Linked DNA regions of Lytechinus pictus. Each later gene encodes a partner of the first gene's protein in a complex. Links are inferred from orthologs where the notes say so. Each region holds a gene or a part of one and is shown on either strand. Other genes may lie near its edges. The genes, in order: gamma-tubulin complex component 6-like, gamma-tubulin complex component 4-like, gamma-tubulin complex component 3-like and gamma-tubulin complex component 5-like.

The links.
Region 2: the proteins of gamma-tubulin complex component 6-like (region 1) and gamma-tubulin complex component 4-like are in contact, whole or in part, in a cryo-EM structure (PDB 7QJE), measured with the Homo sapiens proteins. The link is inferred for Lytechinus pictus from reciprocal best matches to the Homo sapiens genes TUBGCP6 and TUBGCP4. Residues at the interface, in NP_065194.3 of Homo sapiens: Leu312, Thr313, Ala315, Gly316, Arg317, Ala319, Phe320, Phe323, Leu326, His327, Glu349, Pro390, Glu391, Ser392, Ser395, Leu396, Glu399, Tyr403, Ser455, Leu456, Leu457, Thr458, Gly460, Phe461, Lys464, Lys465, Arg468, Arg471, Tyr472, Glu475; in NP_001273343.1 of Homo sapiens: Met1, Ile2, His3, Glu4, Leu6, Leu7, Ser10, Gly11, Tyr12, Pro13, Gly14, Ser15, Ile16, Gln29, Phe31, Pro32, Phe33, Leu34, His35, Pro36, Glu38, Thr56, Ile59, Glu60, Thr63, Val66, Gln67, Gln68, Ile84, Arg87.
Region 3: the proteins of gamma-tubulin complex component 6-like (region 1) and gamma-tubulin complex component 3-like are in contact, whole or in part, in a cryo-EM structure (PDB 6X0U), measured with the Homo sapiens proteins. The link is inferred for Lytechinus pictus from reciprocal best matches to the Homo sapiens genes TUBGCP6 and TUBGCP3. Residues at the interface, in NP_065194.3 of Homo sapiens: Pro65, Arg67, Asn68, Leu71, Met72, Ser74, Phe75, Asp76, Arg78, Asp87, Glu90, Asp151; in NP_006313.1 of Homo sapiens: Pro9, Asn10, Val11, Leu13, Gln14, Glu25, Ala26, Ala29, Gln30, Phe32, Gln33, Val36, Arg37, Ile39, Gly40, Ser41, Phe43, Thr129.
Region 4: the proteins of gamma-tubulin complex component 6-like (region 1) and gamma-tubulin complex component 5-like are in contact, whole or in part, in a cryo-EM structure (PDB 7QJE), measured with the Homo sapiens proteins. The link is inferred for Lytechinus pictus from reciprocal best matches to the Homo sapiens genes TUBGCP6 and TUBGCP5. Residues at the interface, in NP_065194.3 of Homo sapiens: Glu290, Ala291, Ser292, Lys293, Arg294, Arg295, Cys296, Trp297, Glu298, Arg299, Val300, Gly301, Cys302, Pro303, Pro304, His306, Arg307, Glu308, Glu309, Pro310, Tyr311, Leu312, Glu314, Lys322, Arg325, Leu326; in NP_443135.3 of Homo sapiens: Asp211, Asp212, Arg213, Trp215, Leu216, His219, Val220, Val221, His222, Trp225, Ser230, Phe232, Pro233, His234, Leu238, His239, Ser240, Asn241, Leu242, Leu264, Val265, Thr266, Glu267, Thr268, Gln269, Arg272, Val302, Thr303, His304, Leu305.

The regions. Positions count from the first base shown.
Region 1 is NC_087247.1:26,636,057-26,643,026, forward strand, and holds the start of gamma-tubulin complex component 6-like, read left to right. Parts: upstream 1-3,950; 5' UTR 3,951-4,015; coding exon 4,016-4,355; intron 4,356-4,811; coding exon 4,812-4,948; intron 4,949-6,970. UniProt on the Homo sapiens protein: Component of the gamma-tubulin ring complex (gTuRC) which mediates microtubule nucleation.
Region 2 is NC_087246.1:1,561,887-1,569,896, reverse strand, and holds the start of gamma-tubulin complex component 4-like, read left to right. Parts: upstream 1-5,009; 5' UTR 5,010-5,143; coding exon 5,144-5,221; intron 5,222-6,859; coding exon 6,860-7,001; intron 7,002-7,896; coding exon 7,897-8,009; intron 8,010-8,010. Other genes in the region: replication factor C subunit 2-like, read right to left, coding at 4,621-4,724. UniProt on the Homo sapiens protein: Component of the gamma-tubulin ring complex (gTuRC) which mediates microtubule nucleation.
Region 3 is NC_087260.1:8,324,424-8,331,887, forward strand, and holds the start of gamma-tubulin complex component 3-like, read left to right. Parts: upstream 1-4,458; 5' UTR 4,459-4,544; intron 4,545-4,696; exon of another isoform or gene 4,697-4,762; intron 4,763-7,419; 5' UTR 7,420-7,431; coding exon 7,432-7,464. UniProt on the Homo sapiens protein: Component of the gamma-tubulin ring complex (gTuRC) which mediates microtubule nucleation.
Region 4 is NC_087245.1:32,376,124-32,384,034, forward strand, and holds the start of gamma-tubulin complex component 5-like, read right to left. Parts: upstream 3,020-7,911; 5' UTR 2,930-3,019; coding exon 2,882-2,929; intron 1-2,881. UniProt on the Homo sapiens protein: Component of the gamma-tubulin ring complex (gTuRC) which mediates microtubule nucleation.

The DNA.
Region 1 (6,970 bases):
ACACTATTTTACACGCAAATCGACGCAAGGCATTACGCAAAGTCCGTCAAGTGTCCAATCTTTTTATTGTATAGACATTGGTATACCGTATTATTGACGTTCGTTAAAGCCTGTACTGCTGGTTCCGTTCCAGGCACGTATATTTTTTTCAATTTTTATTTATTAGTCATCGTTTTAAATTAATTGCAAAAAAGTGTTATCATCGCCAATAATAATCTTGAATTATGTTTTTGAAGGTATTTCATTTATTGGTGCCCATAATTAGTAAATTAATCATGAGAATTGCGCATTCAAAGAATTTAGACACAGTTATAAAATTACCGAGGAGCTGAATCAAGGTTGTGAAATTTATTAGCGCCACCAACGGGCTTCCTTGTATTTCCGTAGAAGAGACAAGCGAAGTCACTTTCCAGGCCGAGGTAAGCGAAATTTGCTCTTTTTGACCGATTATTATATTCAAATTACATTTTTAATTTTTTAATGTATTGCTACTTACCGGAAAGAGCCCTGAGTAGCGAGAAGGAGTTTCGGCAAATATTACTTCAGCAATGAAGCGATGTTTGCCGACTACTTCGAAATCCAGGGTCAAACACGGTCCGGTGTACGAGGTTAGTATATATATATATATATATACTAACCTCGTACTAGTGTGAGTGACTCATAGAGTAGAATTCACTGAGCAAAATACCGAAAATTTCATCAAAATCGAATACCAAATAATGAAGTTATTGAAGTTTAAAGTTTAGCAATATTTTGTGATAACAGTCGTCATGAATATTCATTAGGTGGGCTGATGATGTCACATCTCCACTTTCCGTTTTCTTATGTTATTACACAAAATCAAAATTTTTTCATTATTTCATACTTGTGTGAATAATAATAAATATCTCTCCCTTATAATGAAATAAGTTGCAGCAATAAATATCTAATGCACTAAATCAGTTGTCAATCCAATTTTTCTAGTTCTTGGAGGAAAAAATTTGAATAAACCTAATTTCATATAATAGAATACAAAAGAACAAGTGAGGATGTGACATCATCAGCCCACCTAATGAATATTTATGACGACTGTTTTCACAAAATATTGATAAATTTTAAAATTCAAAATTATTCAATAACTTTGTTATTTTGTTAAACTTGACTCAAAAGGAAAGATGAAACAACTAGATCTAGTTATGAAAACTCTATAACTTGTTCCTCCGGTTCATCACCAAATCAGTAATCTGAGAATCCATAATATATTTATATGATTATTTTGGTGGAAAAACTGTTTATCATGTGAGATTGTTTGCATCATTGAGAATCTGCTCCGATCCTACATGCCTAGCTAGTAGCCTGCCACACAGAGTAGGGAGGCCAGTTCGTTAATAATGTATTGGGTTAGCAAGAAAATCACAGCAGAACTTGCAAAAGTTTATAGTTATCGATTTTATTGTTATCTCTGCTTCGTCATCTGTTGGTTATTTGATGAAAAATTCGTCACTTTCAAATGTTTTAATTATATTTTGTTCAAAATTCTGAAATATCGGGACAAATAGGCATTCCGGGAAGGGTTTTTTCGGGAGCCGGGACAAAGGAGCAAACTATGGGACGATCCCCAGGAAATACTGGACGTCTGGTCACCCTGGACGAGTTGGCAGTAGACGAATTGGTAATTTACCATCATGGGGACACAACAGTGCCTGGTCCTGGCCTGGCTTTGGCCTGGGGCACCCATGGGTGCATTGCATCTCAGTTGTATGATTGGGTGACCATAATTTGCGCACATTAAAAAAATTATCATGAAGTTGATTTTAATCAAAAACTTCTCACAGTTCACACAAAATTAATCAAAATCATGAATACCAGACCAAAGGCAAGATCCCTAAGTCAAATTTGCTTGACGGAATTATAATAAAGTAGAGGTCTAGGTCAAGGACAAGGGTTTTGCTGGTATCGCGATCTCAAAATTCCATGGCGATCAAAAATATGGGAACGAGTGTGTACAACTCTATGGAAAATTTTCCATAGACTTACTGGTTCCCATTTTGGCGAGCAGGTTATATTTATTCAGTGTCATTAATTCTGACGAAATAAATCGCACTTAAAATGTCTTTGATTGAAGACAGGTTATTATGTATAGTGAGATTTATTTAGTGAATGTGATCGATATATATATTTTTAAACTGTGTGAAAGTGGCCTTGAGAGTGGAGAGTGGTCTTGAAGAGCAGGGAAATGCTTGGTACATGTATTAATAAAAAAATATGTAATTCCATATTTGACTAAATAAAACCATGAAGCTAAGTTTCTTGTTTGTCATTGTTGAAAGTCAGTATTGATTTAAAAAGAAATATGCTATTCATTGGTTGGCCTATCAATGCATTTACTGAAAAAAAAAATTATTCTAAAAGCAAAGCTAACTAGAGAAGGATCTTGAGCAGGATTCAAACCCATGCAAGTTGTACATCAGTGCAGCATAGAGCTTTGACCTGACGCTTTTACCACTAGAGCGGGGCTATTGATGTCAACATTTGAGTGTATATGGTTCTATACTTCCGCTCTTTAGCCATTCTGTACCTGTGCTTCACTCTATTTTTTATTCAGGATTCACTCTATTTTTTATTTAGGATTCTTGCTGATTTTAGGATTACTGGGCATATTAGCTATATTATTACCTGAATGAGCCATGTTTGAGACAAGATAAAAGTTCGTACTTTCATACTTGTATTATTTTGGATGTATTATGGTCAAATTCAAGCGTGCATAAATTGACATTTGCGCTAACAATTACATGCATTACTTGCTAGTCTCCACAAGTACTCAACATTTTATTGACTGCAGCATGCATTAACTTTGCTTTAATTGTATAGACGATATACATAAAGTGCTATATGCTGGGAAACAAGTAATAATTAATAATAATTATAATGATATTGACTGGCATTACTATTGGGAGTTACCACATATAATTCCTGCTCATTGCCTTTGGCAATATGACTAGGGATATATGTCCTCCCTAGTCTCCCTAAAGACCAGTCAATATATAAATATAGCCCTCTCATGCCTTTTAATCGTGTTACTTTGCATAATGTCGGGAATAATAGCATTCAATTTGTAATTTAAAGGAGAATGAAACTCTCGGAGCAAGTTAGCTTTTGTGAAAGCAGAAAAATCAAAGAATAAGATCAACAAAAGTTTGAGTAAAATAGGACTAGCAATAGAAGAGTTATGAGCATTTGAATGTCGAGATCACTAATGCTATGGAGATCCTCCCATTGGCAATGCGACCAAGATCTATGATGTCACAGATGAACAACTCTCCCCTTTTGGACACTGAAAATATACCCCAAAACATCTCTTTTTGCTCATTCTAATTATATGACAAACGATTCATCAATGATATAATGTTGTGAAACCTCTGTACTTGTCCTCTCATAAAGAGAACACCTCACCTTGTGATAGACTCTATAAAAGTGAGAATATAAGTGAAATAAGTACTAAAGTAAAGAGGGAGTTGTACGTGTGTGACATCACAGATCGTGGCCGCATTGCCAATCGGAGGATCTACATTACATTAGTGATCTCAATATTCAAATGCTCATAACTTTCTTATTATTCATTCAATCTTCCTCAACAATATGTTTCTTTGATTTTTCTCTTTAATATGGATTCAGCTGGTTTCAAGGGTTTCATTCTCCTTTAAGTATACATGTATCAACGTTATGGTTACTAATTATAGACTTACCGCAAATAGCCATATGCTATTTAAGAACCATGGGATTCAAAAGGGGACAAGAATGCTCTGAAGGGCAGATTGACATGGATGGTAGATAGGGCATTTCGGGAAGAAATTGTAAAGAATGAAGAACTTGTGTCTTGTGACCATTGAGACTATGTTATTGTTCTTGATGAATTTAACTTTCTTGCTACACAATTAATAAGCTATCACATTTTTTTTCATTGTACTTAAAAATACAGGTCTTCTTGTCCTTCGCTTGATTGACTTGTAAATAAACTTAAATACCCTGCAAGAAAATGGTGACCCTTGACCCCACATCCCCCCAGCAACTCTTTAAGGATCTTGTTCGGAGAGCTGTTAGTGACACGTTGGGATCCTCTCGTCCAATCCGCCTGGGAGAAGATGCCGAGGATATCGCCAGGTTTCGCCAGAGATTGCAGACCAGACTGTTCGATTCCCTCTTTGGAAGTCTCCCTGGACCCCTGCAACACAGCTGTTCAGCCAGAAGCAATGCAGCTGGGATTTACTCCCCCAAGGAGCAACTTGTCATCATCATTTTCAAGCTTCGTGTGGAGAGGAGATTCGACGAAGCACAGCAAATGGAGTTGATTTTGGATCGCCTCTCAAAGTTGAGCGGTAAGCAACATCCAACTCTTGCATCCTTGTAGCATAAGTTATGCTTCAGTCACACCTGGGGAACCAACTCCAGACCGACCAAAGATATCATATTATTTCCAGTGACATACCATCTGTCAGCTTTGTTGGTATGACTGTCCCACCAGGATTTCAGAGCTCTGCAGAATCACCACTCATGAGATGAGCCGTTGGAAGGTTTCTGGTTGATCATATGCGCTCTCCTTGCCATTATATTGACAATTACTGCACACTGTTTTGTATACAAATTGCCATAGATTTTTCACATTTTAATCACTCAAGAATAGACAATATTAAATAAAATCTATCATATCAATTTTCACATGAATCCTGAGATATTCTAAAGCATTTGCGAATGTGATCCATGTCATACGTTATATTTCACCTAAAGCTTAATTATTTTCACAAATTTTGTTGCTGTGTGTTCTTTTTCATTAGCAGAAGAAGACAGTGTATTCCTGGAGGGAGTTATTAAATTTCTTCTGGCACTATCAGGAACCAAGCAGTCCTCTCACAAGGCTGTAATTGGTCACCAGAAACCAAATCTTCCTACTGTTGGTTTGACTTCCAAAGAGGTACGTGAAGCCCTGCTTTATACATACATGTAAAGCTCAAGTCTTGTTTTGATAAGTCCTCAAGGAGGGGAACATAAAGAGATACAATTTATTGTAAATTTTAATACATGGTTTGCTATAGGGGCATTTTCACCACAGATGGACACAGAGGCAAAAAAATCAAGTTGATATTCATGTCAAATGCTTTATGTTTTTTAATAAAACAAGACCTGAAGTTTCTGAGACAAAATTTTTTTCCGACTCTGGCAGCCATTTTTTATTTCAAAATGGCTGCCAAAGTATGGATACAAATTAGTGTTGAAAATAGTATATTGATACATATTTTGTTTTGACAGATTTTTAAAGAACAGGTTTGATCATGATGTTTTCGCCTGTGATTTAGCTTGCTATTATAACACTTTTTAAAATCCCTCAGAAAGAAACACCAGTAATTCATTCATCTGATAAAAAAACATTGATGAAGTATGTGATATGGTATGTAATGTCAGTTACCGAAAACATGAACTTTTTTTTCTCATTTCCTGGAAAAGAGGATATATTATATGAAACTTGGTAGATTTCCTCTCTAGGTAACACCCCTCCCTTCTACACCAAAATTAAAGATTACCAATCAACAATGAAGCCATAGGGTACCATTAAATATATGTAATGTCAGTTACCAAGTGGAAAATGTAATGTCAGTTACCGAGATGTAATGTCAGTTACCATGATAAAACGTTGGTTACCAATATTGAAATGCAAATATGTGGTAAATTTTATGGTGAAGAAATATTGTATACTTGTTATTTAAGTCTTTCACTTTAAAAGTCACACCAGAAGGAGCTTGCTATTTACTTTTAAAAGGTATAGTTCACAAGGAATACTATATGAAATTATGAAGGAAGTTGCATTCCCATTGTGCAAAAAAAATTACTATGAAATTGTTTTGTACATGTACTTACCAAGTACCTAATTGTTTGTATCAGACAATTTTTTGTTTGGTTTTCGGGGGGGGGGGGGGGGTAGGGGGTACTTTTTCCAATCTATTGCCTAAATCTGCAACATTTTTTAAGCTTAACATTTTGATGAAGGGGATTTCCAGGGTCCCTTTTTTAGTTTCTAGGATTCTTTTGAGCATTGCCTCGCTAAAAGTACATTCCTGGATTTTTTATACCTGTTAGTAGTGTGGATGTGTGATACAATTTTGTTTTTGGTTTACAAGTATAGATGAAAAGTGAAATTTGACAGTTCTGATCAATGTTGCATGGATCTACTAAAACTGTTTTTTTTTTCCAATTTACAAATAGTTCAGTTTCAGTTTAGAAGCTGGAGTTTATTTTTTGTTGACAGTTTATAAAAGAAATTAGCAAAGAAAATGATTAAACAAATTATGAAGAGAATTGAAATCCGACAGATATGAACAAGCATTGCTTGCACTGACCAGAATAGAAATCAATAAAACTACATGGCTGCATGAGATTCGGGGGAGGGGTACATGTAGCCTAGGGGAGGAGACCCTTATTCATTTTGCCTTTTTGAGGGGAGGGGGAGGTTGGAGAAGGAAAAGGTTTAAAAAGTCAATATAAAACTGATGAATATATTATGGGTGTATAATCAGAAAAATCCATGTGTACAGTCAATGCAATATTAAATTACTATAGAAAAACATGTAGCTGCTATGACCCCACCCCCCCCCCCCCCCCCCCGAGTAAGTAAAACATACATTTCTTATCTTTGGATAATTAAAAATGTGAAGTATTATGAAACTTTTATGATTTTAAAAAGCCTTACATATAAGTACCAAGAAAATTATGTCTTTGAAAATCATGTAGCACTGGTAAATGTTAATGTGTATATTGTCAGTTACCGACAAGTAATGATAAAAATGTTCAGATCAAAGAAAGGAATTAAGAAAAAGAAAAAGTTTTTTCATTGAAATGTTCCTAAAAACTCGGGTATACTTCCACATCAAGCTCACTTTCATGTGAAGCCCTGCACAGAAGATACAATGCAATGATTCCACACATTTGACTTCCATGTGTT
Region 2 (8,010 bases), on another chromosome or scaffold:
AGGTCCCAGGGCTACCAACATACATGTAGCGCGGGGGTAACAAGGGTTTGGACCATGGCGCAAAAATGTACTCGGAGGAAACAAAAAAATGTAAGATCATTGTCAAAATCTATCTCAAAGTTAGATTATCATGATAACTCTTTTTCTTGCTCGCTTTGCTCACTCGGGACTTACATTACATAACTTTTATTTTCCACACGTGACATGTGCTGTGCCCCCTCATATACACCCGTTTAAGTGTTATGCCCCTGCACAGACTCGTCTACATTGATTTCGATATTATAAGCGTCATTATAAAATTTAACAAAAAGAACGCCTTGAATAAAGGCCAAAAAGCCTAGAGACTCGTGAGCGTCATGTGACAACTCGCCCTGGATTTGCATGTACAGGATCCTATGGTGACAACAGCTGTCGCAAGAGTTGGCCAGAAGAGGGGATGAAAACACAAAATTTGGAAAAAAACGGTGAGTACCCATTTTACATTATAAATATAATTAAAATTAGTAAACATGGTAAATTAACAATAACATATAATAAATAAGTTAGACCTAAATTTAGGCCGTAATTTAGAGGAATGGGCTGGAAATTCAAGGCCAAAACGTACTCGTTTGGAGTCGCCGCCTTTTTTAACACTGCTTTGAGTTTGAATAGGGGTGTCGCCTAGAGTGCCCTGGGGCCTGTTGCATGAAATGGTCTTTCGTAGAACCATTCTACGTAAGAACGAGATATCGCTCAACTGTTTCACAAAGCCAATTTGGGCGATACGAAGAATGGTCCTTGGAAAGACACCTCCAGACATGTCCTACGTAGGCATGATCTTCTTTGCACACCGCCTGCCACCGTCGGCATTGAGAGAAAATGCGTTTACGGCAAGCCACACTGACATATCACCTTTAAACATTTTTTGGGTTGCACACTGATGCATTTTATCTGGGATGGCGCCAAGTTATTTTTTATATGGGGGCTAGTTGTCATCAATTGCAGGTCGTCTTTTTGCACGGCAAGACGACCAAAAACAGATGTCATTTTAACTTCTCCAGGCTTTATATGTCCGGGGGTAATGTAGGCCCCAATATTTTTTTTTAATTAATATGTTTTCTTTTATGGTCCGTCCTATCCCCACACCATTTCCATTATTTTTTTTGTTGAAATATCGAAATGGGCGGCACTATCTCTCTGACCCCTCATGCTTTCTCATTACAGATAATTAAACAACAGGAAAACAAATTTCTTTAAAAGAAATTATGTAAGGTAAAAAAACGTGTTTATAACGTTCAGCAAAAAAAAAAACGATACAAAACTAAAATGTTTAACATGGTAAATCATTCATTTATTTTTATTTCATTTTCATTATGATCATTTTTTTTTGCTGAGATTAATTTTAATCAATGAAAATTAATTGTCGGATTTGGGCTTAACTTGAGATGTACTGAAACAGTGAAACAAAACAAAAAATCTGCAGTAACAAAATACCTAATTGAATTTAAGATACAGATTAGGCCTATAGCTTACGAATCCATCACAATCATTACAAATGAAGATAAGCTAGTTCATTAAAGAAAAGATTATGGAAATGAGTCCATACAAAGAGGCGCATTTTCACTTTAGGGTAGGCCCCTTTAGGCCCCTACTAAAATGTTAAAGCAATAATGTATTCTCTACTCCTCAACTTTGAAATGTTGAACATATATATTTTTTATATTCTTAAACCTTATTCTTATATAAGCTTCCATAAATTAAGTGATCAACTTTAAAGATTACCAACGTTTATGATCATTGTAATATTAGCATTATTTCTGTAAATAGTATTTTTTCCATTGCGGATTGCACACATTTTTCTATGTTTTAATTGTTATTGCAAAGCACTACTTTATCCACTTGGACATGTTTGCAGCAATTTTCATATTTTCCTTGTCTTCGGTTACTCATCATGCAACTGAGGTATGTTTATACTCTAAACACTCACATTTGTATTTCTTGCGTTATATCTGACAAATAAAATAAATAAATTAGATTTTTCACATGCAGCCTCTCATATTTTCCTTTTTAGTCTCATACAATCAGACACTGTTGATTTTGTTTACTCCATTCAAACCCTATTTTTACCTCAACAGATAACATATTAACGCATAATTTGCAAAATCATCATTATATATATGTTTTCTATAATAAATCAGTATATTGAACTAATAAAATGTCGAAATTACTTAGTTAAATCAATTTTTATGTCGGACAAGGGTCTCTTTCGTAGAAATATCAATGAAAGGTGTCTCTAAAAGGACACCGTGTTCTAAATAAGTGAAATAATGAAAATTTCGATTTTATCCAGTTATGTTTGTGAATCTTGAAAGTTTTTTCTCTTTTTACCTCATAAAGTACGCTCCATACATCAATTCTACAATCAGTAATAAATAAAACATTATTTGATCCCCTTTTATTGAAATATATGATTTTATGAAAAGTCATCAATCCGAAATAAAAGGTTCAGGTGACGATGAAGACTAAATATTTTTCCGATACTATCGATATCAAACGATGTCGCGGACTTGAAAGACAAAATTGCCTTCGTGAAACAGGGGCATGTTGCATGACGAGATGAGCGATACGTAGGAACGTCCTAGGACCATTCTTCCGAGATAGGAAGATTGGCGACAAATCAGCGCTTTCCGTTTCACGAATGCAATTATTTTGTCTTTCAAGTCCGTGACATCGTTTGATATCGATAGTATCGGAAAAATATTTAGTCTTCATCGTCACCTGAACCTTTTATTTTGGAATGACGGCTTTTCATAAAATCATATATTTCAATAAAAGGGGATCAAATAATGTTTTATTTATTACCGATTGTAGAATTGATGTATGGAGCGTACTTTATGAGGCAAAAACAGAAAAAACTTTCAAGATTCACAAACATAACTGGATAAAATCGAAATTTTCATTATTTTCTTTATTTAGAACACAGTGTCCTTTTAGAGACACCTTTCATTGATATTTAAACGAAACAGACCCTTGTCCGACATAAAAATTGATTTAACTAAGTAATTTCGACATTTTATTAGTTCAATATACTGATTTTTTATTGAATACATATATATAATGATGATTTTGCAAATTATGCGTGAATAAGTTATCTGTTGAGGTAAAAATAGGGTTTGAATGGAGTAAACAAAATCAACAGTGTCTGATTGTATGAGACTAAAATGGAAAATATGAGAGGCTGCCTGTGAAAAATCTAATTTATTTATTTTATTTGTCAGATATAACGCAAGAAATACAAATATGAGTGTTTAGGGTATAAACATACCAGTTGCATGATGAGTAACAGAAGACAAGGAAAATATGCAAACATGTCCAAGTGGATAAAGTAGTGCTTTGCAATAACAATTAAAACATAGAAAACGGTGTGCAATCCGCAATGGAAAAAATACTATTTACAGAAATAATGCTAAATATTACAATGATCATAAACGTTGGTCATCTTTAAAGTCGATCACTTAATTTATGGAAGCTTATATAAGAATATAAGGTTTAAGAATATAAAAAATATATATGTTCAACATTTCAAAGTTGAGGAGTATAGAGACTACATTATTGCTTTAACATTGCATAGGGGCCGAAAAGGGCCTACCCTACGATTTAAAATGCGCCTCTTTGTATGGACTTTCCATAATCTTTTCTTTAATGAACTAGCTTATCTTCATTTGTAATAATTGTGATGGATTCGTAAGCTATAGGCCTAATCTGTATCTTAAATTCAATGAGCTATTTTGTTACTGCAGATTTTTTGTTTTGTTTCACTGTTTCACATCTCCAGTTAGCCCAAATCCGACAATTAATTTTTATTGATTAAAATTAATCTCAGCAAAAAAAAATAATTATAATGAAAATGAAATAAAAATAAATGAATGATTTACCATGTTTAACATTTTAGTTTTGTATCGTGTTTTTTTTGCTAAACGTTATAAACACGTTTTTACCTTAGGCCTACATAATTTATTTTAAAGAAATTTGTTTTCATGTTGTTTAATTATCTATAATGAGAAAGCATGAGGGTCAGAGAGATAGTGCCACCCATTTCGATATTTCAAAAAAAAAATTAATGGAAATGGTGTGGGGATAGGACGGAGAATAAAACTTAAAAGGAAAAATATTTATAAAAATATTTGGGCCTACAACATTACCCCCGGACATAATGCCCGGAGAAGTTAAAATGACATCTGTTTTTGGTCGTCTTGCCGTGCAAACAGACGACCTAAAATTGATGACAACTAGTCCCCCATATAATAACTTGGCGCCAAAAATGTTTAAAGGTGATATGTCAGTGTGGCTTGCCATAAACGCATTTTCTCTCAATGCAGACGGTGGCGGGCGGTGTGCAAAGAAGATCATGCCTACGTAGGACATGTCTGGAGGTGTCTTTCCAAGGACCATTCTTCGTATCGCCCAAATCGGCTTTGTGAAACAGTTGAGCGATATCTCGTTCTTACGTAGAATGGTTCTACGAAAGACCCTTTCATGCAACAGGCCCCAGGCCCCTGGGCCTGGACCCAAATAATTCTAGAATTTCTACCAACAAATTTTATAGCTAATGGGACCAAGGGCGAAGGCTAAGTCACTTACCAAGGCATCTCATAGGAAGTCGATTTTCCAGCTCCCCCCGACTTTCCAGATTCTCCTGACTTGGATTTAGGATCCAAAGAAGTGCTAGATTTTACTTCATCCATTTTAATATGTACTTTAATTTATTTTTAACTAATAAAAACGTTTATGATATTAAGAGATAACAGTAGCTCCACACAAGTTTCGCGCGATTGTGAAATACAGGCTCGTACTAAAAAGTAGATTTTATTAGGTACTTTAAAATAAAATATGAAAATAAATAATAAAAATTAAACTGCAAGACGAAAATAAAATAAATTCTACAACTATAAATTATTTTAAAGGAACAAAGAATCATCATACATCTTTATAAATCAATATAAATTATTCAAAGAACAACTTCTTCTAGTAGGCAATAGACTCTATCTGCAGACAATTCATTAACCTAATGTGAAACGGGCCTGATAAATATTCAATTCCGACTCTGCAGAAGTCTGTATCCATGATTTTTCTCTTCGATTCGATCATCTAGATTGCAACCAAGATGTTACATGACTTACTGATGGCTCTGAATGGATTTCCTGGGGGTATTTTTATGGAACATGGGCACAGTGATATACAGGTAATTAGACTCCAGTCCCATTCATTCCAATTGATGTTAAGCTAATTTCGAATGAATGAATGAATGAATGAACGAACGAATGAATGAATGAAGTACATTTATTTCCAATGATAAATAAAGCATCAATACATTTTAAGAACTTGAACAAAGCAAAAGAGGTAGCAACTAAGAAAGCACAGCTTGTGAATGTGATGAGTGACAAGTGAAAGGTGCTGGTAGGTTTTACTTTTATTTTTTTAGGTGCTTTGCTTCCTGTTTTAGATAGATGATCTAGGCCTAGGCCTACGTCGAAATGAAATTGAAAATGAAAGGTTGGAACTGTCTTGTGGTAAATATTCTTGTTCTTGTTCTTCTCCTTCTTCACTTCCTCATTTTGTTTTTCTTCTCCTCCCCTCTAGTGATTCTTCCCCTTGGGCTTGGCATTGTCTTCGGTCTTCCTCCTTTTTCCTCTTCCTTTAGCTCTTCCTCCTCTTCCTCAGGTGTCCCTCTTCATCTTCCTCCTACAGCCTACTCATCCTTTTTGTCTCCCTCTTCTTCCTCGTCTTCCTGTTCTCTTACTTCTCCGCTGTCTTCTTCTTTCTTTTCTTCTCTGCTCTTAATCTTCCTCCTCTTCCTCAGGTGTCCTCTCTGTCTTCCTCTTCCTTCTCCTCATCCTCTTTGAAAAAGTCTTTGTCTTCTTCTTCCCCTGCTCCCCCCTCCTGCTTGTTCTCACTTTCCTCTTCTTCTCCTCTTCTCTTTTTTTTCTCTTCTTCCTCCTCCTGCTCCTCCCCTTCTATTCCTTCTATTTCTTATTCTTTCTCCTCTTTCTCTATCTACTTCTTCCTCTTCTTCAATTTTTCTTCTTCCATGATTCTTTGAGTTAATCAAATTAAGATTATTGTATTGCAATTTTTGATCCGATTGTAAACTCTATTTAAAATCCTGTGCAATAATATAACGTTACCCACCACCCTTTTATGTGGAAAAGAAGTGAGCAAGTAAGTGATAGTTTGCAGTACTTAGAAACATTGTATTAAGCATTATATAAATGTTGTATTTTATTATTATTCATAAAGTAAGTAATGTTTGCCTGAAATTGGTTTAATTAAGACTGAATAAACTGTGCATTGAGAGTAGTAAAAAATCATTGATTTTTTTTTATTGAAATAAGAAAATGAATAAAAATTGCTTGGTCAGTGGTTTCAATGAGATTGGATTGGACCATAGAGATGAGATACATGGTGGGGCTAATGAAATTCACAGTTTTAATTCAGCCCATCGGCAAAATTTTAACTTTGTCAAAATTCATCATTTGCACAATCCTCTTATTATTTGATGAAATAAGGGCACCAACAGAATAAAATACTTTGAAAAAAGACCTTGCAGTTCATCCTCAATTATGGCAATCTTTGGAAAACATTATTTTTTTGGAACAATAAATTAAAGAAGAAATTAGAAAAACCTTCACACCTTAAATGAAGCCAGCAGTACGTGATTTGTTCATAAACAAACGGTATAATCTAAACTAACATTGTAATCTTGACCAGGAGTGGATCCAGGATATATCAGAGGCAGAGGCCCAAGAAATTTTGGAAAGCATACTTGAATCTCAAGGCATGTATCTGTGTTTATTATCATATTTCTTTATTTTGCCTCTAGGTTGTTCCAGATCTTCCTTTTATCCATGTGAGTGAAGTCAGTGTACTCAACAGAGTTTGTCGTTTAGGGGCTATTTATAAGAATCTCCAGACCTTCATCAAAAGATACAGTGGCAGTCCTTACTTAGGGAAACATAATCAAGGTAAACTTATACAAGACAGAAGGATTTTTTTTCTATTTTGAGGTGCTGTTATGCTTTGACCTACATTGAAATTCAGTTTGTAGACTTGGCACACCCCTCTGTGAGAAAATTATACTTCCTCCCAGTTTGATCTTGTTAGCAATAGAGAACAAAATAGCAATCATTGGATTGTGCATTCAATCTCATAATAATAGTAATAATAATAATAATACTCAATATTTATAACGCGCTTTTCCCACATGGCCCAAAGCGCTCACAATTTCAGTTAACATATTTATACAAACAAAAAAGCAGAATGACATATTAAATGAAGGCAGTTGCCTAGAACAAAAGAGTTTTAAGGGACTTCTTAAAGGACTCGATTGTTGTGGATTGTCTTATTGTGAGAGGGAGTTTGTTCCATTCCATAAAAGCTCCTATTAAGTATTATTAGATACAATAGATCTTTTCAGAAATCAATCTTTCAGTTAGAAAGTTGATTTGTTTCAGGGAATTTTTATTATATTAGATAGGGAAGGGGACCCGAGATAAACAGAAATAGCTGGGCATAAATATTAATAATGAAACCTTTAGAAAATTCTTTAAATAGAAAGATTTCTTTCAACTAACAAGTTGTCCTTTTTGGCAGTGTTTAGTATTAGGTGTATTAGAAAAATAAGGTAAGTAATCTCCTACAATACATCTCATTAGCATTAAATTGGGAACTATATATGCTATTGTTCAGTCGAATCAACACTGAACATTATTGTTCTGCAACTTATATAAAATAATTACTAAAATAAATTCTCTCACAAACAGTCATGAAGTTTGGTTTCCTTTGTTTTAATAAATCATGAATATGAGCAAATAGTAAGATTGGTCACACTTAATGTGAAATGTTCTTGTCTCTTTTCAGAAATTAAGCCAGTGGATAGACTCCCTGATGGATTGTATCTCAGGACATTCTGTTCAGGTTTAGACAAGGTCCTGGAACCATACAGAAAAGCTCTATTAGACCTGGAACAGGATG
Region 3 (7,464 bases), on another chromosome or scaffold:
TCGCCACAGTGACATCCCTACTTTGTTGGACACCTTCTAGTCCAGGATAGGCCCCATAGAAAATTGACGAAACCTTGTTTTTTTATATATACAATATTTTTTGATAGTTTCTTGTCAATTCGAGGGTGCTGATTACGAATCTGGATGATGCCACTCGCGTAACCTTGAGCATTTTCCGCAAATTGGCAAAATCCAATATGGCCGCCAAAATATGCAAATTACCCATGAATATCGTAAAATTGTCCGCACATTGGCTGTGAAATGCATGAAATTGTGTGGCAGGAGTGAAATACTCTCTGAAAAAAAAATTTTTGACAAAATATTTATGTTTCTGATATTCAAAATGGGCGCCATAGGCCATTGTATACACTAGCTATTATGTAAAATATGAAAAGGGAAAACTAATAATTTCACAAAAATGAGCACTAGACTGCAAAAATCGCGATGTATGAACGAATTAATATATGCAAATCATCATTACTAACGAAAGATTCCAAGATCAAGCAGCAGGGTCACGACCGGCAGGAGCAACCGGGCCTCAACCAGGAGCAGCAAGAAGCTTTCGAGAGATCGCCACAGTGACATCCCTACTTTGTTGGACACCTTCTAGTCCAGGATAGGCCCCATAGAAAATTGACCAAACCTTGTTTTTTTTATATATACAATATTTTTTGAAGGTTTCTTGTCAATTCGAGGGTGCTGATTACGAATCTGGATGATGCCACTCGTGTAACCTTGAGCATTATCCGCAAATTGGCAAAATCCAATATGGCCGCCAAAATATGCAAATGATGTGTCTCCATTATGATGAAATTATTATGTTGCGGCAATAAATAACTAATGCATTTAATCAGTTGTCAATCCAATTGTTTTAGTTCTTGGTAGAAATTTTTTGAATAAACCTACTTTCATATAATAAAATACAAAAGAACAAGTGGGGATGTGACATCATCAGCCCGCCTAATGAATATTCATAAAGACATGCCTAGACCTGGTTCACTGGAATAATGCAAATCTGTAAAATTCAATAACTTTGTTATTTGTTATCCGATTTTGATGAAATTTTCAGCATTTTGCTTTGTGAATTTTACTCTATTTATTGAGATATGAATATCGCCAGCCTGGATCATCCCTTTAACTCTCTTTTCATGTAATGACAATCCCCTAACCGTCTTTAGAACCCCCCCTCTTCCCCGCTCCCCCTCGATCTCTTTCACAATATCTGTGATTCCCCTTTTTACCCTGCTCTCTCGTTTCTTCTTTTGTCCACTCCCTAAGTTCTCACCCCCTTTCACAATTCCTTCCCCCTTCTCTCCCCCTCTCTTGCTCTCAATATGATTCCCCTTTTCTCCGTTCACTCTCTTTTCCTCTATATGAGCATAAACTCCCCCCACTCTCAATCTCTCTCTCTCTCTCTCTCTGAGAACTATACCTGTCATTTCTTTCCCTCGCCTAACTTGTTTTCCTTCTTTGATTCTCATTGTCTTTTCTCTGGCCCATGCACCTCCCACCCCGCCCCTTTTTCTGTGATTTCTTTCTTCTACCTAATAGGCCCCTACATATGTTTCCTCTTTTGCCCACTCACTAACCATGTAGGCCTACCAATGGGGGGGGGGGGGGGTAATCCCCCTCACACACACCCACATGCACCTCCACACCAGACCGTACGCAGGATTTCTTAAGGGGGGGGGTTCAAGGTGATTGAAATGTTAACAACCTAAAAAAAAAGGTTTTCCAATTTAGGTCGTTTCCAACCACCCAAAAATTCGACAAGCAAAAAAAAAGGTTTTCATATTTTTTTAAGGGGGTTTGAATTCTTAGGGGCTTGGGAGGGGGGTTGGGTATCAAAAATATTAAAGAGGTGTTTGAACCCCTGCACCCCCTGCGTACGCCACTAGGCCTACGATATGGAATCATCCACCCGCATCAACCCCCACCCCCCCCCCCCGGTTTTATAGACGCGCTGTTTACACCACTAGCTGTTTAAAGAATAATCATGTTGGACTTATTCGATGTCGAAAGTATATCAATAAAATTATCATGATCATCACGTATAAAATAGGGAAATGGCCTATTATTGTATAGGCCTTTCACCAAGTTGTACAACTTGACAGATTTGAATTCACGAATGAACTAGTGAAAAAAACATTTGGTCGGTAGTATCTGATTTTTAAAAAAGAAGAAAATGTCACGTCTAAACATATATGAAACATCTTGATACCTCAGTCACCAGGAAATTGTCAAGAAATGAATCATGTAAAATAATGCTTGAATTCCAATATAAGTGTAAAATATAGATCATCAACCCTATCTGGATCGACCAATTCCGGGGACCGGGATAGTCCTGTCCCCCTGTCTCATCACCCGAACACTTGTTTTCTTCTTGATCGAGTTCCATTGCTTTGTGGTAAAAAAAAATGAGTTAAAAGCTCAAAATTAAAAGCTCCATGTAACTTAGGCCTATTTGGGTAGATAGATATATCCGGGATAAATATATGCTTTTTAGCATCCCAATTCACCCGTCTCTCTCCGATCTTAATCAGTCCTTTTTTTCTGTCATCTCTAGCTATAACTGTCTTTCCTCTCCCACTTTCCCGTCTCTTTTTCTCTCATTTTTCATTTTATTTTGTTTTATTTTATCCATCTATTCATATTCACATACGAACCATATGTTTTTTAAAAAAGCACAACATCCTATCCGATACTCAATTTGGTTTCCGGGAAAAGAGTAGCACTTCCCACGCAATACTTTCTTTAGTTCAAACAGTTGCCAAAGCTTATGACAAGTCTTCGAATACGATTGGTTTGTTTTTAGATTTTTCAAAAGCATTCGATACAGTTGATCATAACATTCTCCTTTATAAACTTTCTCATTATGGAATAAGATGAGAACCACTAAAGTGGTTCAAGAATTATCTAACCGGGCGTTCACAGTTCGTTTCACTCGATTGTAATATTTCTGAACGTAAACCTGTCCTTTGTGGAGTTCCACAGGGCAGCATTCTTGGCCCACTTTTGTTCATTACTTATATAAATGATATTGATATGTCATCTAGATTGCTTCAATTTATACTTTTCGCTTATGACTCTAATATATTTCTGTCGCACCCCGACCCAGAGCAATTGACGCAAATATTCAATGACGAACTAAAAAATGTGTCTAATTTGATAACAGCTAACAAACTCTCTCTTAACCTAGAAAAAACTAGCTACATGCTATTTAGCAACAAGATTACGAATGTACCAAAAGATGTAATTTTAAATGATATTGTCATTCATAGAGTGCGATCTACTAAATTTTTGGGACTGATCATAGACGAAAAACTTTCTTGGAAAGCACATATTGATAATATTTGTAAAATCATTGCTCGCAACATCGGTGTCATTAGAAAATTAAGTTACTTCTTACCCCATTTTATTTTGTTATCATTGTATTCAACGTTAATTTTACCTTATTTGAATCACGGAGTTGTTGCGTGGGGTAATGCAGCGAATTCTCAAATTAATAGACTTTTTATTTTACAAAAAAGAGTGATTCGTATTATTAGTCATGCAGAATTCAGGGCACATACAAATATTCTGTTTTTGAGAAATAAAGTCTTGAAGGTTGAAGATTTATATTCTTTTCAACTCGGACAGTTAATGTTCAAGTTTATCAATAAACAATTACCGTTACCTTTTAATAATATGTTTGTAAAAAATAATACAATTCATAAGCATTTCACTCGCCAGGCGAGTTCCTTTCATTTACCTCTGAATAGAACATCGTTTGCACAGAAGACATTTGTTTTTACTGGTCCAAAATTATGGAATTCTTTTTCAAAGGATATTATACAATGTAATTCAATACACAATTTCAAAGGAAAACTTAAAATATATCTTCTGAATTCATATTAGATTATCGTTTTTTCCCAAAGTAATGTAATTCAGAACTTAATATGTAAATGTGTTTATTAATTTCTCTTTGTATATATGTTTAATCGTTTTATGATTTCTGTATACAGTGTATACTGAATCATTTATTTTTATTATTATGTATTTATTTTTATTTTTATTTGTTTATTTTTTAAGATCATTTTATATATATATATATATATATATATATATATATATTGTTTATTTCTTTATTTTATCTTATTTTTTATTCATAAAATTTACTTATAAAAGGGGGCCTTCACCCTACAAGCTCTGCTTTTTAGTTGGTCTCCTTCCCTTTCGATTTCATGGTATTATTGAATTATAAAAAATGATTTAAATGTTATATTTTGTAAATATGTTTATTGAACTATTATTGTAAATGTAAAAAGATTGAAAGAGAAAATAAATGAATTGAATTGAATTGAATTGAATATTTTGAAGGAGGAGGGGGGGGGGGGGCTCGAGGAAAGCCGCCCCATGCCTGCCATGGATGTGTTCACGCGCAGTGCGCACAATTCAATGAGATCGAAGCTAAAAAGCGGTCTGAAAAACTGGCGCCGAGGCGTAGATTTCAACGAGAAGTTTGTACTTGTTAATTGTATCTGATTCTGAAAATAACTTGTAATGTAAGTGTAGCTTTTTTATACCTTTTTTTTTGTTTAGACAGACACTCATATTGATCTGAATTGATTTCATTATTTTTACCTCCTTACCAAGGCAATATCATGATTTCTTCAGGCTTTAGAAAATATAATTATAAAGTTAGATCGACGAGGATCCGATCGCAGAGATTGTACATGACCCACGCATTCACTTTCGTGTCTGTGGCGACATTCAATAGAAGGTAAAAATTAAAATAGGGTTATAAACTGATAAACTTGTTTTACGTTAGATAAGATAAGATTTTATTAATCGGGAGTATGATATGCTATCCACACTGCACTTTTTCCCCTTAACCCCAGGAAATTGGTGGGGCTAAGGGGTGTCTTCTTAGCCCCACCAATTTTCCGGGGTTAAGCTAACTCTAAGTCTAGACTCTAAGGTAGACCAAAAGCTTCAGTCTCTGTTATGTTGGTTGTTCAGCTGAACTCCGTTGGCTTCACTCACCAAATACAGAGACCGAAGTTCTAGCGCGATCTGTACAGGGGACTCAATGGCCATATGTTTATGTACTTAAGATCGGATAAAACGGGGAAGTGAATTTGCGCGACAGCCGAGGTAAGTCACTGTTTTTGTTCCTTTTAACTTGATTTTTCTCCGTTTTGGGGCAATTAATGCCAAGAGGGAATATTAATTTGCATTTTGGTCGCGTTAATTTTCAAAATTTTTTATTCATTAAAGACAAAAATTGAAGAGCCCCGACGGGGGGATTTCGCATTGCAAGTCCCCTAATGGTGGCTGCACGCTAGCGAGCCGTCTGTGTACGAGGAGAATTAAAAAAAAAAAAAATGTTAAAAAACTCCTCGAAACAGACGGCTGGCAGCTGTCTAACTCTAAGGCAGCTTAGCCCACTTCGTTTTCCTTTTAGCAAAGTGGGCTAGCACGGTAAATAGTACGGTACTATCTGGCCCTGCAAAATAGCAGGGTTAGCCGGCTTATTGTGGTGCTAGCACCACAATTGCGGTGCTAAGTAAGAGATGCAGTGTGAAACGAAACAGGGCTAAGGAAACTCTAGACCAAAAGCTTCAGTCTCTGTTATGTTGGTCGTTCAGCTGAACTCCGTTGGCTTCACTCACCAAATACAGAGACCGAAGTTCTAGCGCGATCTGTACAGGGGACTCACTGGCCATATGTTTATGTACTTAAGAGCGGATAAAACGGGGAAGTGAATTTGCGCGACAGCCGAGGTATAAGTCACTGTTTTTGTTCCTTTTAACTTGATTTTTCTCTGTTTTTTGGCAATTAATGCCAAGAGGGAATATTAATTTGCATTTTGGTCGCGTTAATTTTCAAAAATTTTATTCATCAAAGACAAAAATTGAAGAGCCCCGACGGGGGGATTTTGCATTGCAAGTCCCCTAATGGTGGCTGCACGCTAGCGAGCCGTCTGTGTACGAGGAGAAATAAAAAAAATAAAAAAATGTTTAAAAACTCCTCGAAACAGACGGCTGCCAGCTGTCTAAGGAAACTCAAGCACAATACATTAATTTGAAAATCTATAGCATCCCAATCATTGACAAAGCATTCCACGGGGGTTTGATCCCGGGGGGGGGGGGGGGGGGGGGCACTCGACCAAAAAAGTGGTAGGGGTGTGCTGCGGGCGAGGCAAAAAACGGGGGCCTTGGAGCGGGCTTATTGTAAAAAGGAGGGTCCTCGGAACGGGCTTCGGAACTACAAATGTTTGTGAAAACGGGGGTCCTCGGAACGGATCTCTGTAAGTGCGTATGCATCCCTATGGAACGGGCAATCGTGCATGACGCAGCTAGCGCGGCCTCCGCCGGGTGCGCTCGCGCTTAGGCGATGGTCGAAACGCGCTCTACGGCCGCTTTTCACCAAAATTGTAGCAGATCAATGCGACCGGAACGGCGTAACGAAAAATATGCGAAGCTTTGGAGCGGATTTCTTTCTTCTTTTTTCTCGATAAGAAGGAAATGCTATGCCTTGGAGCGGCTTTCTTTGTTCTTTTTCTCAATAAGACAAAAATGCTATTCCTTGGAACGGAAATTTCAGTGTAAAAATGGGGGTCCCCTCCGCGGCACATACCCACTCTGCATTATATACTGAGTGCCCCCCCCCCCGGGGGTTTGATATTCCATGTGGCGTGCCGATGTTAACCCTTTGGATCCGACTGGCTTCTGCCGAAGCGAAATATCAATATTTACTATTTTTGTCTCTAGAAGCATTGTTTTGGCTCAATATTTTTTGAAAATTTCAAATTAGTTATGGACAGCAAAAGGGAAGCTCTTGTGATGTTTTCATGTCAACATAATATGATAGAATCGTGAAAAAGAGACATATACAATTTTATAACTACTTACAAAATGGACAAATTGCAGCACTTTCCGACAATTTGCGCTCTTTTAGAGCTCACTCATTTTAAAAGGTGTATGATTATGAACACATTTTGTATACCAGTAATTATATAATTTATTTGTCGGCTCTGAGATAATTAACTTTTGATATTACTCGAATTATGGTTATTTCTGTTTGCTGATACCCGTTATACTGTACTAATGCATTATTAAAACTGAACCAGCCAAGTTAAAATCCAAATCTCTCTTGTTGCTACGAGAAACTGTCGCCAAATGAAAATGTCTGTTTTGTTGAAACAGCTGAAAAGGCATTGTTGAAACACATGTTTAAAAACAATGGACTCGTCGCCGGCTCGTCAGATGGGGTTAAAGCAGGCTGGAACTTAGCGGATAGATTCCTATCCTTCATAACACATTCCTGATTTAATCCAAGACAAGACAAAACAAGATGACTAGACTCAAACCATTGCTTTTACCGTGTAGCATCATATGTTTGACTTCCTGATTCTCTTTGATTATCTGTCGGTAGGTGATGTAGATAATGGCAAGCTTCACCATGTCTAACCCCGGAGCA
Region 4 (7,911 bases), on another chromosome or scaffold:
TGCACAAACTAGATGTTGTTTATTTTTGTTTGTTGTAATTTTTTCACTCTTATGAGAAAATACATGAAAACTCAGAGGAAAGGATATTTCATTTCCAGATGGGTCTAACTCCTGTATTTATGTTTTCTTTATTATTAATTGTACTATTTATTTTTTTATTCACTTTTCTTTTTTTAGGGGTGCAGGTGGGGGTTGTGTTTTGAATTGGAAAATGGGGATGGGATTGGTACAAGTTTTTGTGTCACTTTTGTTTCTCTTGTTTTTAGTGCTTGTTTGGAGCTTTGATGTCTGTTTTGTTGTTTAAAGCTTTGTTATATATTTTTACTGGTTGCTTTTTGTTTTGTTTTGAAAGAAATAGACCACTCTTTTCCTTTTCTTTTGGCTTCGACTAATAATTTGAATTTATTTTTCTTTAAAAAGAGAGCTCAAACAGGGCCTTTGTAATACAATGTATGTATACAAATCTAAGAAATTGACAACTGATAGAATATATTAAAACTTCATTTTCGTCCTTCTTGATACTTGAAATAAATTGCATACAATTCTACATACATATTTTACACTCAGCTGCTCATTCCTTCTAAAAAAATGTAATCACATGTCCATTGTCTCTCAAATCAAAAGCTACATATTATAACAAATTGTTGAAACAATAGAATACATAAGGAATTGGTGAAACAATCAAATACATCAGAAAAAAACACACATATTTTTATTTGGTCATACAAAGTACAAAATAAATTTTTTATATGTAAAAAAGGACCCCTGTACATACAAAATTACAATACTAAGTTGAAAAAGAGCTTGTAATTTATATCAGAAAAACAAAGAAATACATTAGAAATTACAAAAACAATACTTTAGACAAATTTATTAGGAAATTATCTACATGATGCTGTTTTGATGCCAACTAAATTATATGAATTATCTATCATAATCACCTTCATTTGGCAAAATAAAGAGGCGAGTAATTGTGATTTTCTGTTTGCATAATTAATTAGAATTAATTAGAAGAAATTATTTTAAACAGAATAAGAAAGATTACAAGATGAATTGATGCACATCAATTGAGCCTTCTCTCACCTTTCCATTGATACCTAAATTACTTCATAGGGTTAAAAAACAAAGAAGTTAGAGCCTGTTGAAGACTTGGGTTCAAAATGGTCACAAAATGGTCACAAAAATCGGTTCTGTACTCCATTGACTTTACATACAGACAATGACCACAAATTTGGATCAATATGTGCGACTTAAACTGGAATAACTTTATAATTTCTTGATGAAAATTAAAGTTCTTGGTATCATTTTAAAGGTCTTTTTAAGAGCTTTCAAGTGATACCAAATTTATTCATATTTGATGATTTTCATTTTTTTTGTCACATACCTACTCCTAGTACCAATGAGGTCCAAACATTACATGTATGGACCTCATAGGCGACAATGCGTTAAAAACAGGTTAGAAGTAGAACCGTTACTGTTTCCTGCACCCAAGTATGATATTACTCCCTAAATACAATTTTTTTTCTCGTTTGTTTATCATTTATTAAAAGATTGCCCATTAAATATCATATTATTTCTACTTAAGATTTAATAAAATAAAGGGAAACTTACATTTGAGTCCTTTTTCGATCTTTTCTTGGCAGTCAGTGCGGTCACCGTCGAGTGCGATCAAAGCGGTATGAAGCTGATTTTCAGATCACGTGATACGTGTAGTCATCTTCTTCTTCTTCTTTCCTTGGTTGGCAACCAGTCAGGATTGACTATTTTTGCCACAGCTTTTGTTCATTTTCAGTAGCTTATTATAATTTTTTTTCCTTCTCTCTTTTAATATTTTTTTTCTTTTTCCTTCATTTTCTTTTCTGTTATTTTCTTCTTTTTTTTCCTTCTTTTTCCTGTTCATGTTTTTTTTTTTTCTTTTCTTTTTTGTCTTCTCTTTTCTTTTTCTCTTTTCTTTTCTTTTCTTTTTTTTCTATTTTTTTCTTTTTCTTTTCTTCTTATTTTTCTTCTTTTGTCTCTTTTTTGTATTCTTTTTCTTTTTTTCTTTTCTTTTCTTTTCTCTTTTTTCTTTTTATTTCTTTTTCTTTTCTTTTCTTTTCTCTTTTTTCTTTTTATTTCTTTTTCTTTCCCTTCCTTTTCTTTCTTTATTTATCATCACCTGATCTATTGACTATCCTTTTTTAAAGACCGCAACAATTATAAATTTTATTATAAAATATATATAGAATAAATAATTGCATGATATTATATATATCTCTACAATTAAAAATATTTTGTGATATAAATTTAATATTTGACGTAAAAATCGCTATTTAACAAAATATTTATTAAAAAGTAAAAAATAAAACAAAATAAAAACGCCTTGGACACAGTGCAAAAAACCTAACGATTTGGCCGCGTTGTTAACAACTATCGTAAGGGGCGCTCTATTTATAAATAAAAAAGAATGTAGGCCTACAGCTGTCTACCGCGACGTGGTTTGTCGCAAGATTTGGGACAAATCCTTGGGAATTCTTGAGAAAATACATCAAAAGAACTGGTGAGTACCGATTAAACATTATCAAAGTAGTAAATAGGTTATACATAACTTGTAGATATATATTTTAAATTGATATTGATGCTTAGTTCCAAGCTAGGGCGGCCCAAATGTGCGTGAGTGGAGTCCCAGTTTATTAACACGGGTAAGTATTGGGGTGTCGCCTAGAGTGGTACTAGGAGGTTGCTCCAGCCGGCACCGGGCGGTGGGGAAGACAGCCGTCTAACGTTAGCGGTGCAGCCAAGCCAGGCCCGGCCCCAGGCCAAGGGGAACACAAACCATGCAAAGCTCAGCTTTATTGGACATCATACAACGTTCGACATAAATATGTGACAGAAAGACCGGTACCTGAAATTGTGTCAGTTTCTTCACTAGTTTCCTTGTTTCCTGCTCCATGATTATAACAAGCTCAACAACTTCAAGTTCAGCTCAAATTTGATGCAGGCGCCATTTCCGAGCGTGTAGTGACGTCATTCTTCGATCTGTGGGGGAATTCCCTGACTGTCTTCGGTTTGGATACAGGGGAACTTGGGAAGTGAAGAATTTCAACTTCATGCCCGCTTATAGAACTATTCACTTTACTTCAATCAAGGAGATTTAAGACCTCTATGCTTCAATTCAATTCAATTTACTTTAAAGTTACCAGTCTATGAAATATATATGGAAATTTGTCCTTCACTGGCTTTTAGATTAAAAAAGAAGAAGAAATTTCCACGCGTTGACATTATATTTTTTGGCGGCCAATCTTCACCTGTCCATTTGCTCTGGGGTTAAACTTCCCCTTCAAAGAAAACTTACGCTCTTATATAGACACGACATATGATGAGGCTAATTGCATAACGCAGAATCACCAAACAACCGAAAAAATGAGAGAAAAAAAGGAAAAATAGAAAAGATTAAAAAAAGAGAAGTGATAGAAAGAAGTGGAATCGGGGAAGAGAAAGGAAAAGAAAAAGCCGGGAAGGAAATGCAAAGATAAAGAGGAGTAAACTTAGTGGAGGGGGCGCAACCGCGTAGCCAGGATTTCATTTTGGAGGGGGCGGTAAATGCACGCGAAGCGGGCCAACACTTACAGAGCGCGCGAAGCGCGCTCCCTAGGGGGTGCTTTCGGTGTTTCTTAAATTAAAATGAAAAGGAGCCGTCTCTCCTGTCTCTAGTACCTATATCAGCTCCAATTCAGTTGACTATATTTTGATTTTGAACCTTGTTTTTAAAAGTGATTGTGAATGCACAAAAAGGGATAAAATGGAGGAAATTAAAATAATATTTACCCCGCACGAAGCGCGAAAGCTAAAGCGTTTTATCAATTTTTTTCTAAAGAAAAGGGTCCCGAGATAAGGGTATTCCCTATATAATACTGAATGCTTCCCTTGGAAAGATCAGATTTGATTACAAACAATTTAGCGGCAGTGCAGATCTTTAACTCGCAAAACAAGAAGGGTATTTTCCGGGCCAGGAAGATATTTCTCCCCGTGCAGAGCAATGAAACTCTGAAATTTCAAAGTGCGGACCTTTCATCAAATGCATATATCTCTACCCCATCGGCTCTCATTCAATTAATTTTCTAAGATTATTGAACTTCATTACAAGGAAAATAGTGCGCAAAAAGTTGAAACTTCTGTGATTTATTGAAATTATATAAAAAAGGATGATGTATAATTTCTTTGATTTATCCTGAAGCGCTTAATTTTGAATGATAAAGAAACTTAAGTGTCATTCAAAATTTCAAACTGAGGGCGCAAAACAGGACAGGAAATGAATGTGCAGGGAAATTTTAATAGAATTTGATTTAAAAAATATTGTACTTTTTTATTTAATATGACACGAATTTTGTACCTTCCTCTTTTGAAATTAGGAACCTGTTTGCCCCCAAATTATGGTTGTTTAGTAATGTGCTGAAAAGCGGGAGAAGTGGCCTATATGGAGGTGACGGCAGAAATTGATATAAAGATTTTACCCGCCCGAAGTCGACCCGACCAGAAGTTGCGCGATCAATTTGAAAAAAAAAGATAACTTAAATATACTTCGGCCTAACCTTACTCTTATTCCATGCCCTAATGTATACATTTAACTTTAACTGGCAAGAAACACATAGCTGAGGTCGAAAAACAGGGTTAGAGAAAAGGTTAGGGAAACAAAGGAGAACTGCAATATTGTCATTTAACCGCGCGCAGCGCGGAAGCAAAATTCATATATATAAATTTTAAAATAGAGCACTGAAGAGTTTCTCTTTTGAGAAAAAAATAAAGAATAAAAAGAAAAACACACAAAGCTACCTTTCTTCCCTTCGCTTTTCCTTTTCTCCTTTCTTTTTTCTCTTTTTTTTTTCTTTTTTGGGACTTTTTTTTTGGGGGGGCGACCGCCCCCACCGCCCACTGGCTACGCGCCTGAGGGGCGGGGGAGATCAAAAAAGGGAGAAATTGGGAAAAGAAGAAGAAACAGGAGAGAGAAAGACACTCCAAATAAAAGAAAATGAAAGAGAAGAAAAGCTGATAAATGAAAAATAAAAGATAACTAAAGAAAGATGTGACAGAGATTAATTTATAGGATGAATAGAAGAAATAAAATAGCTTGTGAGGAGAGAAAGTAGAAAAGGAGAAGGAAGATCATAAGAAGTGGAGAAAATGGAGAGGAAATGGCTAGTATTCCGAGTAACCTATATATCTAGTGTCATTAAAACAAAAGTATATAAACTCCTCAAAAAAAGTTTGGAAATCTGACTTTGATCGATAATCCCTCCTCAGTTTTAGTAAATATCAATGTGTAATTAATATCAATGAATAGACCATTCAATTTTCTTTAAAATGATACCCTACATGATATGATTATGGTTCACATGCAACCTTGAAATGTGGGGCAAGGTCAAAATTCAAAAGTTGCAAAATGACACACTAAAGTCACTGTTCTTTTTTCCGTGGTGATGAGTGAGTTTCTCAGCGGTTTCTTTTAACTGTTTTCATGTACCTTATCATCAACATTAACATGGAATCAAACACACCTCTGCACAAGCAAACACATAACAAACAAACAAACAAACATGCATGGGTATTTCAAACCACGACTCAAACCATGTTATCTCACAGAACCATCACTACATACACCACAACAAAACATAAAAAATGAAGAAGCAGGGGCTTGATTTGAATGGATTTTCATTTCTAGACACAAACAAGAATTTCTGCTCGTTTTGCAGCTTTTCAATTCAGACCTCATCCAACACTTTTGAATCCTGCTCTTTTCATGATGGCATGATCATTACAAGCATGTTATCATTTTCAAGCGAATTAAATGATCTTTTAAATGATATCAAATATGCATTGTGTAAAATTGGGAGTTGGGAGAAACTAAGATTTCCAAACTTTTTTTTGCTCGTTTTGCAGCTTTTCAATTCAGACCTCATCCAACACTTTTGAATCCTGCTCTTTTTGTGATGGCATGATCATAACAAGCATGGTATCATTTTAAAGAAAATCAAATGATCTTTTGAATGATGTCAAATATGCATTTTGAAAAATTGGGAGTTTGGAGAAATTAATGGCCAAACTCAGATTTCCAAACTTTTTTTGAGGGGTTTAGTGTATGGCTTGATCGCAACCCGGGTCGCAACCTACCCTCACTCTCTCGTCAAGATGGAATTGACGTCACTTTTATGATTATAACCGTCCTGAATGGGCGGTGGGGCAGAGGATTATCCTTTAATTGTTCTATGGGGGGGGGGGGGTGGGGACATCTACTGTTGCGTCCCCGGCACAAACACATAAGATATTCCTCTGCTTCGCCGCCCATCATGCTCCCTCCGTTTTTATTTTCATAGTCTTCTCTATTTCATATTTACGTGACATCCTTGGCCAACTCAATTCAAGTTAATTTTATTGCTCATCACCGACACGTGTTTTGCTCGCTTTTAATCCTACTTTGGCACATGCATACACAAACATAGGAATTCTCCATGGGCCTATACTGTACAAAGAATAAAAAAATGTATTTTTGAAGTATATAAAATAAAATGAAAGATAAATCAAAATATATCTAAAGATCCACAGCACATTTTCAAGCTTCATTTTTCCAAACGGTGCCTAATATTCTGATTTTGTTATATCTTTAATCTCATGCGTTGTAAAGTTATTTATTTCAACTGTTCCCTATTAATTCTGGCTCGATTATTTTAATCAAATATATGTTCCTCCTGGTTATGTTAAACATAAATTAGTTCCTTTTTTGTGCAACCTACCTGTTTTATACTATTATGTTATTCCATTTTGTAACTCTATTGTATGTAATGATCTTTGTTCACCCAATCCGGTGTGGAAGGGAAGGCCTGTGGGCCATGGCCATTAAGTTGACCTATTCCCTACCCAGGCTACCTGGTTGGTTGAGAAAAGGTCTAAAAAATATTTGTATTTTTGTACTGCATTGTACACGCTGTCTTGTTTTTGGTTAAGTGCCGAATAAAATAATAATAATATTTTGACATGGGAGCCAAGTCATAGGTGCGTACTAGTATCCTGGGTGGCATTAAAAATAAAGGTGATATATAGTTCTAGGCCTATACCCTATACGGCCTCCATGTTTTTTTATTTCCTGTATCTTTTATTCTTTCCTCTATCTTTATTCTCTCCATTTATGTCTTGTTCACCACCATGATACCGGTGTAAAAATGGCAGAGGTAAAAATGGCAAAGGTAAAAATGGCAGAGGTAAAAATGGCAAAGGTAAAAATGATAACACTTGAGTTGGTATTTCTTATTTTTTCCTGGACTTACATGCACGACCTTCTCATGTCAAATCACTCTCACAGAACGGAGACCGTTGAAAGACCACTGAAAGACTTAAAATTTGTGATGTCTAAAGGCCCCCATTCCACAGAACGGAGACCGTTGAAAGACCACTGAAAGACTTACAATTGATGAGGTCTTACAGCGGTCTTCAAGATCACTGAAATTTGTCATCTCTGTGAAATGGCTCAGAAAGACCCCTCAAAGAACTCTGAAAGACTGATGGATATTTCTTGTCTTACTGGTCTTAGACAAGTCCTATAGAGATCTTTCAATGGTCTTTCAGAGATCTTTTATGCAACAAGTGATCTTTCAGAATTCTTTCCATGGACTTTGCCTGGTCTTTCAATGGTCTTTCAATAATCTCTCATGAGTCTTACAGTGATCTCCGCAAAAATCTTGAGAGACTGCCGAAAGATCATTGAAAGACTATGAAGACCTTTGAAAGTTCATCGAAAGACTGCTGAAAGACCGCTGAAAGACCACTGACAGACCATTTTCTTGTAATACCGTTGTAAGACTGTTTTGAACCGTTTCAAAAATTTTTGGAGCCCATGAAGACCACGAAGACCGCTGAAAGATTGGTCAGGACTCGTGTAAGACC